Arabidopsis thaliana: one gene and its partner. The protein of the gene in region 1 interacts with the protein of each later gene in a pairwise test. Each region holds a gene or a part of one and is shown on either strand. Other genes may lie near its edges.

Region 1 (7,643 bases):
CTGAGTTGCACGAAACAGTGTCTAATCCAGAGGTTAAGGAGCACAAGATTAACGGATTCATTTATTCTCAAGAACCCAAAAGCCATCCACCGGTTTCTTCAGTGAAAGTTAAAGAAAACGATGAAGCATCTGCAAAGAAGCGGCCTCATTCAGACTTGAAATATTTGGATAAGATTTTGAATGTACCAAAAAGGGAGGTATTGCATGAGGTTGATGATGTTGAACAAGAATGGCTATTTGGTCAGTCAGGTAAATTATTAAAAAAGCAAAGAGCAGATTCTGCTGAATCTACTTCATTGGTTGAGAATCCGCAAGTTTGGAACCAAGCTCTTAGGATAGAATCTGCTGATATTATAGCTCTTCCATACGTTGTCCCATTCTAGTTTTGATTGGAGATGTTCATTGATTTCAACACGAGAAAGGTCCTCCCTCACATCTCCATTGTTGTGACTCTTTACTCGGTTAAACAACATCCCAATGACGTTGTTGATACACTGATAGCCCGTCACCATTGGAATGGGAGATGTTGCGGTATGACTGGTTGGCTTCATAATGAGAAAGGCTTCCCTAGTAGAACAATTCAAGTCAGTAAGGTATGTGTAGGTTAGAGTAAAATCTTTTCGAGAGTGTGATTGTTGGAAATGAGATTTGCGGTAAGCATCTGATAGACTTTTGGTTCAGTTTTGATTCGGCTGTGTCATCATCAGAAGATGGGTTTAGCATTAAGTTGTATATTAGAGAGGATATAGAGAGAATAGGGGAGAGATCTTATAAATTACCCACTAATACATTACAATTGTATCTACTTTGTTTCCCCTTTTCTGGGTCAAAGTTATTCTTGGAATCCATACAAAATCTTGATCGTCTCTTGTGTACAGATAACTTTGTCTTCATCCTTTTTCTCTTAGTACCATTTTTGGAAAGAGAGATGTTTACACTCAAGCTCTGGAAACATAACAGGATTGAGTAATGCTTTATAAACTTTCAAATTTCAATATCTCTTTTCATTCTAAACAAAGTCCAATGTAGTAATAGTATGGCTAACAAAATCTATCTATATTAAGAGAATGTCACACCTAACATAAAGATAAATATTCATTTTCCATGTAGAAACAAACAAACCCATGAAGAAGAATCAAAACCAAGAAATCATTGGTTTGCTTCCGAAGTTTAGCAACTTCCGAAGTATTTATCATATAACAAAAAAAAGAGAAGACAAGCAGAAGCATAAAAAAAAGACAACAAACAGACATGAAACCATCTCAAAATGGAGAGCTTGACTCTGTCTTCAAGGCATTAGTTGTATGGATCTTGTCTAGAAACATCGCTCTTGCGGAATTGTCACTCGAAAACCGACCCAAAACTGCGATTGTCGCGGTGCTGCTTCCAAACTTCTCAATTCCTCTAGAGATCATACAAGTATGCCCAGCTTCCGCCACAACAATCACATCCCCGCCAACAAGAGGCGATAGCGTTTCAGCGATCTGTCGAGTCATCCTCTCTTGCACTTGAAGCTTGAACCCATAAAAGTGTACAATCGCTTTCATGAGTGAACTTCCAACAGGGTTGGGGTTGGATCCTTCAGCACAAAAGTAGCCAATATGAACAACTCCATAGAAAGGAAGCAAATGATGTTCACACATTGACCAGAAGGGCATGTTCAGCTCACAGTGCAGCCTTTTCTCTTTGACCTCGCCATTGACTTTGGCAGGGTTAAAGCTGTTTAGCTTCATTTCGAGGTTGGTTCTTTGGAAGTTCAACATCCATTTGAGGAATCGAGTTGGTGTAGCAATGAGTTCTTTCCTCAACGGATCTTCTCCCAGTGATTTCAGGATGGAAACAACAGCAGAAACCATTTCCGGGTCAACTTCAGGTGATAATTTAGACGAGCTTTTAACGCTTGGGCACCACTCTTTCACAGAGCTGCCATTTCTGCACAAAGCTTGCGTTTTTACACCTTTGAACATCAAGAAACTCTGAAATTCACCCCAAAGATTCGAGCTTTCATCCTCGAAAACTCCTGACCCCGAGGAAACCAGTAGCTTCACAAATCCACGGTGGCTAGACAAGTTCAGAGAGTCCAAGTCCAAACTGGGGAAGTGAATGTGAGAGCATTCAAGAACAACAGCGACTCCAGCTGGTTTGACCCAATGTTGGAGAGCTGAACAAATATCATCAGCCAAACGCTGAGGGTCTTGGAGCCGCTTGGCGAAAACATCAGTGACTCTAGAGAACTTGCTCAGTCCTAACACTCTCTGGCCCGATGGGACATAACCTATGTGACACTTGACATGAAAAGGAAGCAAGCAAGATTCACAGTAAGAGTAATGATCGAGGTCTCTGACAACAACAAGTCCTCCGACTCCTCCTGCTTGCCCAACTCCTTCATCCAACCCTGCTTCTGGAAACAGAGCACTCTGTACATAGTCCTTCACCTTTTGCTTATAACCTGAGAAAAAAAGCCACCAAGATTGATACTTTCCACATTCTAACTTATTTCACCAATGGAAACAAAAAAAAAGGGAGATCCTAATAGATCATAACAACAAATAAGCCAAGTAACAAGCTACTACACGGGACATAAACTAACCAGGGTCAATAGCTCAAGAACAGAGTTACTTATAAGATGAAGAAAAGAGCAAGAGATTCATAGTTACCTCTGGTCCCTTCACGAAGGGCCTTGGCGACACGGAAAGGAGTCTTTTTGATGCCTTCCCGATTGACATCTTCATGAAGACCTTGCAAGAGAAGTTTGACAGCGTCTTGGATTGCTAAAGTCTCAGGTTGGTGCTCGAAAGCAAGCTCAATGCAGCCATTTTTCATTCCAATGTCGAGCTCCAGATTCAAACATCCCTCATCTAATGCGCCCATTTGACAAAGCCACCAACCAGATCCGAATCCACAAAGGGAAAGTACCCAAAAACAACAAAATCACAAATCAGCAATACTCGATCCCCAAAACGAGAATCCGTACAAGTTGGTGACTCTTTTTCAAATCCGGAAATCTAACGAATCGAGTGGTTGATGTAATAATAAATCACCAAATCAGGTAAGAGACAAGGAAAATAAAAAAAAAATCGAAAATTTGAAGGTGCCCACTAAAATTCACAACACAACGAATCTTCCCAGGAAAAAAAAAAAGTGAATTTTCCCGGAAAGATGAGAAATTTGAGAAACGGGATAACACGCGGGTGGGAAAGAAACGAAGGGTTCCCGTTGATCCAGGAATATGTGGATTCGTAAAATCGTTCATTTTATAATTTAACCTTTCGTGTTATCCGAAAGCGTAATGCGATTAAAACTAATGACTTTTTTTCTTTTCTTTTTCTATAGACTATAGTCTTTTTAGTGATGTTTAAAACAAAAATTATTTAAAAAGGCAAGGCGGCGAAGACTTTTCGAATGCACCAAACCTTTCAACATGTTCTGTCCCAAAATAATAATGTTACCGACCAACCTAGCTAGTAACCCACTTGATTCTTTTCCTTCTTTTTTTTCACCTATTTGTGGAAATAAAAAATCTACATTACCAGAGATGGCAGAAAAAACTATAGATGATAATCTCCAAATCAACTTTTTAAAATCATATTCTCTATCTCTTGGTTTAATGGTTGAATACGTCACCGGAACTTTTCTTATAATATGCTCTGATAGGGAATATCAATTGCAAGATTATATTTAAAGACTCTACCTAACCAATCTAGTAGACTAATTTTATTAGATCGGTCGCTCTTTATTAGTATATACTCTAACTGAAACTAACTATATTATATGTATCTAAAATATATATAATCTAAACAAAAGCAAAACAAAATTCCAGATTCAGCATTCGTAAAGCAGAATCAATGAAATTACAAAGTCATTTTTAAAAAGTAATCAAAGAAACGAACTATTTGTATCATGATAAGTTTCTACTGTTATACGTAATACGTTTACGAGTGAAAGGATAAGAAAACATTAGAGATTTTTTTATAAGTTTTAGTTTCAGAAAGAGAACAAAAAAAGCTTTCTCTTGTTAGCTTGAGATGAATATCTTATTAGATCAAGTGGAAAGCGTTGCCTTCCTCAAGCCGACTGAGAAAACATGATGTATGAAGAAAAAAAAAACAGATTTTCAGACATTAATAGAGATGATCCTCTCAATGCAACATGGTTTGGACTTTGGAGAAGAAAGACTACCAAATCGATAGTGGAAGAGCATTGATAACTGATTTACATATACAAATGTATGTTAATTTGTAGATATCAAATGTAAAATAAGGGCTGTGTAATATAATTGAAGAAAGATAGGACAAGGAAAGTACCTTTTGTATCCATGGCAGAAGAATGGTTTATTGTACATTCTTGTTCTTTGTGTTTAATTTGATATATATAGCCAAAGTATACAAAGTTCATAAGGAATGTGTTGAGAAAAAAAAAGAGTTTTGGTGGAATCATTCATATATAAGGAGACATATAGACATAAATAAAAATTTTAAAATAACCATATATGTACAGACATAAAAATAGTATTTAATCTTTGAATATATCTACATCATTATCCACCAATATATACCATTTAATCATTAGATATCATTTACATAAAAATAAGTTTAATGGTGATTACTTATTTTTGTTTTAGTGTTTATAATAAGTACATTATCTTTGACAAATAAGAAAATAAATTATTTTTAATAATATTTACATGTTATTTTATGATAAGTTTCCATTTTACATCCTAAGCAAATATAAGAGTAATTAATTATTGAGCTAATTAGATAGATAACAAAAATATGTGACAAAATCATAACTAAAGTGCATAATGAATATGTTAAAATAATGTGCTATATTTAAAATAAATTTTTTTTTTAAAATGTAATACAGTATCATTAGAAATAACATTAAATGTAAAAAATAAAAGTGCATAGTTTTAAACTATTGAGGGTATGTTGCAAAAAAAAACAAAAAAACAAAAAAATCTTCCATATTCACTTTTGGTAATTTGTATAAAAAAGTTAGTCATCTAGTAATAATTATTTTAATTATTTCAGTTTTCCATTAATTATAAGGTCCATTAAAAATTAAGTTGTTGCCCCCAAAAATGTTATAAAAAATTAAGTAGTTATTATTTATTATTTTAAAATAAATTAGATAGCCCATAGTATCCAGTGGTGATTAAGAAATTTGGGGAAGTGAGTGAGGCTAGTAGGAGTTAAATGGGCTTATTCTATGCCTCAAATTGTTTTTTTTTTAATCATATAACGGAGAAAAGGGGAAAATATACGATTTCAACCCAAACTATATCTATCGTACATATTTATACGCTAATTAAACTTACCATGAACACAATTTTTAACGCCAAATAAGGACTATTTAAATGTGTTTCACGATATATCTTGTAGATCATGTTGTATTTCGTAATAAATTCATTGTTCAATGTTCAGGTAATAATTGTTGTCGTAAGGTAGTTAGAGAGTACTTCACCAAAAAAAGAAAGTAGTTAGAGAGTATAATTATATTAGTTCGGACTGAAATATGTTTTTACTCGTATATACGTATAATAATCGACCATTTTCAAATACTTTTCGTTTTGAAACAACTTGCAATATAACATAAGAGGATGACATAGCCATATCATTAGCACATACCACAATTATTAACACATAGATATCTCTAAAGTAGGTAGTTCCGTAATTAGTATTTAAACAAGATCATCTCCAATATTCCATTTTTTTTACGGACCATCTCCAATGTTCATTTTTATATTATTTTTTATTTAAGAAATTTTTTTTTATATAAAAAATTTTAGTCCATTATATATATCTAAAATAGAATTTTCTCTAAAATAAAATAAAGGCACATTGAATTATTCTCTATATTTTAAAATCTCCTTTAAAATAAAATAAAATATGCATTAGAAATGTTTTAAATCATATTTTCACTTATCCGCCTAGGCTTTTAACATATGTTTACTATTTTAATTAATGCTGTAATTTTGAAAATCCAAATAACTTCTTGAAAAAGACAAAAAAGTAAAATAGTGTCTGTAACCAATCACTTTTATAGATTTAAATTTGGTCGGATTAAGATTTTGAATTTAGAAAATAGCCTTGTATCTGTATCTAAAAAAAAAACAACGTTGCATGCCACAAGCACGTTTTCCTATTGTTTCTTATATCCTTTTTAATCAAACAAAATTGGAAATTTCGAGGTGATAAGAAAACCAAATACAAGAATCTTATCAAAACCTAGGTTAAATACTTACTAATTAATTTTGATGCTAATCTAATTTTGTAGCAAGGGTAATGACTAATGAGCCTGGAAACAAACTTCAGCTTTACAATCACTGTGAGTTTGTGACTGCAGCAGAAGATTAAAAAAGAAAAGAAAAGAAGAAAAAAACTTCACTCAATGATTGAAAAAAAAAAAAAAAAAACTTCACTCAATATATATATATATATATATATATATATATATATTAATATTAGCAACTCTAAGCACCAACTTCACTCACGTTATCATATGCATCAGTTTTTTTTTCTAAGAATTTTGTCATGCATCAGTCTTTTTCTATTGTTTTTGTAAGTAAAAAAAAAATCGAAGAATCTTACCAAAACCTACGTAAAATACTAAATAGTAATTAATTTATCTCACAAAAAAAACTTAAAACTATCACTCAATAACTTAGGGAGATTTCTCTGTATATTGTTTTAACTTTTAAGTAATAATTTGTAGACAAATAAACATGTAAGCAAGTGCAAGTTGTACGGCAGCAATATATAAAACGAAAGTTGGTACTAAAGACGAAATTATTGGAAAAAAAAATAATAAATGTTATTGCGAACAGCCTAGATCTTGACCACCGATAAAACAAGAGAAGAAAGTTGATTTTTGGGTTTGAATAAAGTGGTTTCAATTTTCATTAGGCCAAAAAGTAAAAACTTAATAGGCTCAAGTTTGTAAAATAAACTTCTAATTTGTGATGATCACTCTTGTGATGTGTTATGTGTTAAACTCCAAACGTTTTTGAATGATTGTATGTGTTGACTTTTAACAGTGTATGCGTTGACTAAGTGATGTACAGTAATGAGACGGGGAAAATCATACTAATATTTCCTTCCGACAACTTTATCTGTACTATGCATAGTACTTTTGAGACAACTTTATCTGAATTTTGTATAGTATACTTTTGGGTTGTGATATATTTTCTCGTTTGATTTTTCTTTTCAACTAAATAATATGCAAACCAAATCCGCTTTCGCCATAAGAAAACAACTAAAAGGTTAAATTTACCCGAGAGTGTATTAATGTTGAATAGCCATATAGGCTATAGTATGTATATGGCTGAAAATAGCTTATGCGATTTCTTGAAGAGAGAGAAAAGGTTAAATCCGAGAGTGTTTTACTCATCAATGTCATTGTCATTCTACATATACAACGTAACAAAGAAAAGCGAGAAAAACTTAATCCGACGAGTCACCAAGGTCAAAACACCTAACACCCACTTATACACTCATTACGTGGAAACATAAAAGATATACTACCAATCATCCTGCTCCTGCACTAACAATCATCTCGATGATTATGAGAGTAGGGTAACGAGGGAAACGAATTCAAGGGTAACTCTTCCCTTTGATCTCGTGTTGATGACGAAATGCTCCGGG
Region 2 (6,127 bases), on another chromosome or scaffold:
TGTTCTTTAACCCATTTCCATGGATTAGAAGAATCAGATTCATCACGAGAAGGTAACATTGTTTCACCAAGCATACACAAAACTCTTTCATCATCATCATTCTCAACGTAAATCCCTTGAAACGAGATCTTAAGCTGAGTATGACTTGGCCATAACTCAAACTCACGGAGCCCATAAGATCTTAAGCTTGGTAATTCGCTAAACATTGTGATCGCGAGAAGCAAAACACCATTGACGCCTATGTATTTCTTGGTTCGATGTGGGAGATCTAGATCTGTGACTGAGAAAGAAACAAGATTCATAGGCTTCGTCGACGAGTTTCTAAGTGTGTTCGTTGAATCAAAAGGTAGAATCGGAGAATCACCAGAATCTTGATTCCAATCTCCGTATCGAAAACCAAGATTCCTTTTTGATTTTCTAGGAGTTCTAGAGATATCTTCAAGCTTTAATTCAGAAGCTGAAGATAACACTGATTTGCACTTTTTCTTCACATCATTGATACGATCGTAACTAATCTTAGGTGCGGATTCATCTCTGTGTTCGCCGATTGATTCAAACATAGGTACGGGCTCCATTTCCGAGAAGGAAGCAATTACTAGAGAAGAGAAGAGGAACCCAAATGAGAGAAAGAGCAAAGGAAGGAGATTTATTACCGTTTTCATACTGACAAGAACAGAAGAAGCTCTTGTTGTGGAGAAAAAAGACAGGAACTTGCGAGTCGCGACAATTGATTTCGGGACAAAGATGGAAACTTTGATTAAAGGGTTCGGAAGAGAAGAAGAGGAAGTTGGGAACAATGAGGATTGATGTATGGGTTTCTCTGTAATATTCGATTTGGTGAAGAAGTTACATCACTAGTGACGATGACACAGATCGAGAGAGAGACAATTACACTCGAAGTTAAGCAGAACAGTGAACAGAGAAAAGTCTTTGGAATTTTCTTTTAATTTATTTGAACAATTAGTTCCCCTTAATTATTTTTCTTTTAATTTACTCCAACATTTGCATTGTTTTTTTCCAGTAAATAAATATTAATGCTGAAAATAATTATATATATATATATATTTGATATTTTTCATAGACCCTCAACTAATCATCTCAGATGTTTTCCGTTGTCTAACTATATAGTTAATAAGAATGAAAAAAAATTAATCATTAACATTATATTTCTAAATTTATATCTATATTTAGGTCATGTTAAAAAATACGAAAAATCCTGACTAATTGGTTAGATATTAATAGTAATTAGCGCATAACAAAGTTTTGAATAAATAAAATGATTTATCTAAATATAAATGATTGTTATCACAATTTTTAGTGGTTGGTTCAATAAATTTATGCGTGAGTGGTTGACTTGACTTTAAAGATGGAAGAGGCGTGTTCGACGGGATATGTTTTAAGTGAGATCCCATTAGTCATTGACCTCGACTTACTTTAGTTTTCTTCTCAAGTCTTTGTTGTTTTCTTCGAACCATAAGATACGTCAATTTCATTCGTACATATATAGAAGATAATTTAGAAGTAGCCTTTTTCAACGACAAATATTTTGGGCTTGATATTGTTTGGGCCGAAATATTTGGCCCAAAGAGCCGCTATAGCTAATGCAGGTTTATAGATAGCAGCTGAGGCTGAAAGTGAAAGACAAAAAGCATTAGGAAATTGAAGAGGAACAAACCAAGACAGTGAGAAACCAAAGAAAATGTCTTAAAACCTATTGTAGACTTGTAGTGTTTCGAAGATAAGAAACTAACTGATGATAAAACAGAGAAACAAGATGTACAAGAATCTAAGATTCTAAGAGAGTCTTGGATAAGATAAAAACCATTGTGAAACTTGACCCACAAGCCATCGATATGACTATATGAGCTTACAAAATGTACAAAATATTAGATTCAGACACAAAGACTGAAGAACAAATGCACAAGAAGGCAACAACAAGAACAGAAACTAAAGACGGTTTTTCAAGACATAGATTTTCTCCACCTAGAAGGTGTTCTTCCTTTAACAAGCTTTGTCATCATATTACCAGGCGTTTGAGTCACATACTCAAAATTTTCACCTTCTCCATTATTACCAAACTCTTCACCATTCGTGTTTTCCACAACGCTAACGCTTAAACCGCTCCTAAATCCCAACTTCTTCCACCTAAAAAAACCTTTATTCCCACTAGTACAAGTTCCTTTCTTCTCAACCAGCTTATGTAACTGTGTTTGCATCGCTTCACACTCGCACTTAAGCTTCGCCATATCTTCTCTCAATCTTCTTATCTCTGCTTGCTGAACATTAATCTCGCGTTTGGACGTACACCGCGCAGGACCAGAATCTGAGTAGTGTGAACCAGAAGGATTAGGGCTGCTCCTAACGCCACTGAACGATGAACCACTCCATTCAATATTGTTGTGGCTGCGATGACTCAGCTTTGCCTGTTCAGAGAACAAAACTTGAATAATAGTTCTAACCGGTAAACGATCGTTCTGTGCAGCGTGAAGAGATGCCTCCATTGATAGCTTATTGCTGTCTATTAGTCCACAAAGTCTCTTCCTTTCTTGCTTGGTCACGTTAGGATGTGCCTAAGTAACATAACCAAAATTCAATTTGAATAAAACCCATCACAAATTATATATGCTTCAAATTTTCGATTTTTTTACTTCTACTATGTAAAATAAATATAAATGTGAGACGGGCCAGTCCATTCATTACCAATTAATTTTAAGTCGTGAAGCTCATTGAACTTAACATTTACCTTGAGATAAGTGTCAATTGCACGGTATAACCCATCTTCGGTTACACGAGCATGGTTAGGGAGAGCTTCGACGAGAGATATAAACTCCGAGAGGGTTAAATCGCCGTCTAAGGCGGCTTCTGCTAAGTAAGAGTCCACGAGCTTCGCTACTTTAATTAGGGAAGCACCGGATTTAACTCCTTCGTTGTCTAAGCCAGCAAATTTCTTAACCAACCGAGTCATGAGCTCGACATCGAGCAATGTCCCACACGTGTGACTAAAGGAAGGTATCATTAGCTCCTTGAGTGAAGCTTGATCAAGCTGCCATGAAATCCTCGCCTCGAGCTCCGCCTTGTAATTTGCATCTGCTCCGACCATGTTCGCGGTTCTGAGTAGACGGAGGAGGAAATCACAAGGAACGGAATCTCTCTCAGGTGGGATGATTCCGATTAGAGTTTCGACGAAGGAACGTTTCTTCATCACAAACGCAGTAACAGAGAAGCTCTCTGACTGCTGCTGCGGCTGCGGTTGCTGGTCATCGGAGTTTAGGACGATGTCGGAGAGGTCAGGGAGCCATTGGGAAGCGTAATGAACGATGATGGATCCAATGAGATCAGGACGAACACCTTTGGATTTGATTCCGGCGATGGTTTTGACGAAATAATCAATGCCAAGAATGCAACCATCGTCGAACCAAGAACACTCCATTTTTCCGGTGGAGGTTGACGGAGATTTGGTGGAGATGGTGGCAGATTCCGGCGAAGATGTTTTGTCCATGTCTTTGTTTTTTTCACGGTGGAAGTTGTAATGTGTGTAAAGTGGGTTTAGTTAGTTTTATAGAGTGTGTAAGCAATTACGTTTGCTCTGTTCTTGAAAAGTCTTACATTGAAACGTCGTCCTCTCATCATGACTCAAAGGTACAATTCCAAAGGAAACAGCAAATTCTTGCCATTTCCTATAAAAACAATCAACTTAGATTTTAGAAATCCAAAAACAATTATGAGATTTTTGTAGGAAAATTTAGGAATTTTCAGGCCCTAGAAGAAGTTATTCCAACAGATGATGTATGATTTATTCGTTATGATTTATGAATGAAAGAAACAAACTTAATATGATTATGTTACGTATAACTCAAACTTAATAAGCTAGAAGACTTAAACAAGTTGATTTGTTTATAAAATCTTTGGGAAAATTTCCAAAAAAAACCCGAACTATTTAAAATCTGCTAGAAAACTAACTGAACTTTTTTCGTTGTCAGAAAAATACACAAACTAATTTTGGGTGGAAATAAAATACACGATTTATTATGTTTTTCCAATTACTCCTTTCGCCGTAACAGACCGTTAACGACGTTAACCAAATCGTCAAATACTGTTAGTTTTATTTACAAAAAATTATTGGAAAAAAACCTAACTTATTTAATATTTGCCAAAAAAATACATAAACTTTTTTGTTGTCATAAAAATACACAAACTAACTTAAATTAGAAATATAATACACGATCTATATTTATTTTTCGATTTCCCTAACCAAATTGTCAAATGTTGTTAATTTTATTTACAAAATATTCTTAAAAAAGCTTGACTATTAAAACAATCCCCTAAAACCTTAAGTTCTTGAGTAATATCAACCAAAATCATGGTGTTGATGGGTATGTTTTATCCTAAATTACTAAAATTGTTTTTTTTATATCTATCATGTATCTAGATTCGATGTAAGCAACAATAAATTAAAAAAATACCCCCTTTGTTAACGAAAGTTCTTTTTTTTTAATTTCTTCAGTTTATTGTGGTTAATTTCTGAAATGGATATATGTGTTATGTTAACACTAGGATTCAAATAGGTTCACCATAGATTATGGGTTTATATGGGTTTAAAATCGGCTTTATCGCCACTCTTATTTACCACGTGCAAAGAAAATGAAAAAAAATTGTATTTTTATTTTGTTACCTTTTTGTAACCATTACGACAAAGTGAGTGAAATTGGAACAAAAAACTACTTCATACTCTTTATTTCAACTTTAAACTAGTTTGTATATATTTCTGGCAGCGAAAAAAAGTTCGGGTATTATTTTGGCAAATATTAAATAAGTTATGTTTTTTCCAGAAATTTTCTATAAATAAAATTGAAAATGTTAACCGATTTGGTTAACGCCGTTAACGGCCGTTACGGCAAAGGGAGGTAATCGGAAAAAAATAATAGATTGTGTTTTTTATTTCTAACCCAAATTAGTTTGTATATTTTTTTGACAACGAAAAAAGTTCAGGTAGTTTTCTGGCAGATTTTAAATAGTTCGGGTTTGTTTCGAGAATTTTTCCTAAAATCTTTTGGTGGTGATTGATATATGAATATGGGAATAATAGAATAGTATGGGAACATTTGACCCAAACAAATTTGCTGAATAATTACAGAATGTTAAGAACTAGTTTTTGTAGATTTATTATTTTAAACATGCATACATGAATCATTTTTAAGAAAACTTGCTAAATATTGTTAATGATGAAAAACAACGAAATCGCTATTTGAAAATGTGAAAACTTGATGAATGTTGCGAATGTTGAAAAATCACGACATCACATTTTAAAAACGTAAGAACTTGATAAATGTAGTGAATGATCAAAAATAACAAAACATACTCTTCAAAATGTGACCAAATGGTATTATCAAAATGAATATTCACATTGTATGACAGTATGAATCCACAAATTTTATATGATCACGGAAATTCAAGCCTTGGCAATTAAACGACACAGAAACATTGAGATATTTTACATGTATAAAAGATATGCGATGGGCCATATCTCATATAGCTGTTTGGAGAATACAATCCTACCGTTGGAGAGGAGGATTGAGAGGCTGAGAAGAAGATAGAGATCATAAAGAGAAAAACAAAAATCGAAAAATGTTTCCATTAATTCCAAAAAAAAAACATATTTAGAAAATATACATAATTTCACAAAGGGAAAACGTGGGAAAAGATGGACGTGTCCTCAATATATATTTTCTAGGACAATCAACGTACGTGTGAATCAAAAAGAGTTAAGAAAAACAAACAAATGACATTAAACATTTTTTATTCTTTAGTTTGATTATGAAGGCCACATAACATTGTATTGTATGGTTTCTGTTTATACGATGACCTTTGTCCCTTGTCCTACTGTTATTATACATCGCAACCATAACCACTAGCCAAAATTAACAATTACTTCTATTTTGTTTCCATGCATGTTTATTGTCTCAGTAACATGTTACTCTGATAAAATAGGATTTCTGTAATCTTTTGATATATTTATGATATTACATCACGAAAATAAAGTTCTTGGATCAACACAAAGTCACAAACAACAAAACAAAGCCATAATCTCATGGATCATTTATATACAATTCTCTACATATCATGTAAC

Evidence for each region.
Region 2: the proteins of AT3G07270 (region 1) and AT1G52770 interact in a two-hybrid assay, tested with the Arabidopsis thaliana proteins (one large-scale study listed by BioGRID).

The regions. Positions count from the first base shown.
Region 1 is NC_003074.8:2,310,679-2,318,321, reverse strand, and holds AT3G07270 (GTP cyclohydrolase I), read right to left. Parts: upstream 4,325-7,643; 5' UTR 4,318-4,324; coding exon 4,305-4,317; intron 3,891-4,304; exon of another isoform or gene 2,872-3,890; coding exon of another isoform or gene 2,859-2,871; coding exon 2,658-2,858; intron 2,450-2,657; coding exon 1,263-2,449; 3' UTR 1,134-1,262; downstream 1-1,133. Other genes in the region: AT3G07273 (uncharacterized protein), read left to right, coding at 396-608. UniProt on the Arabidopsis thaliana protein: GTP cyclohydrolase 1 is the first enzyme in the biosynthetic pathway leading to folic acid.
Region 2 is NC_003070.9:19,653,381-19,659,507, reverse strand, and holds AT1G52770 (Phototropic-responsive NPH3 family protein), read right to left. Parts: upstream 3,678-6,127; 5' UTR 3,500-3,677; coding exon 2,744-3,499; intron 2,571-2,743; coding exon 1,962-2,570; 3' UTR 1,713-1,961; downstream 1-1,712. Other genes in the region: AT1G52780 (PII, uridylyltransferase (DUF2921)), read right to left, coding at 1-662.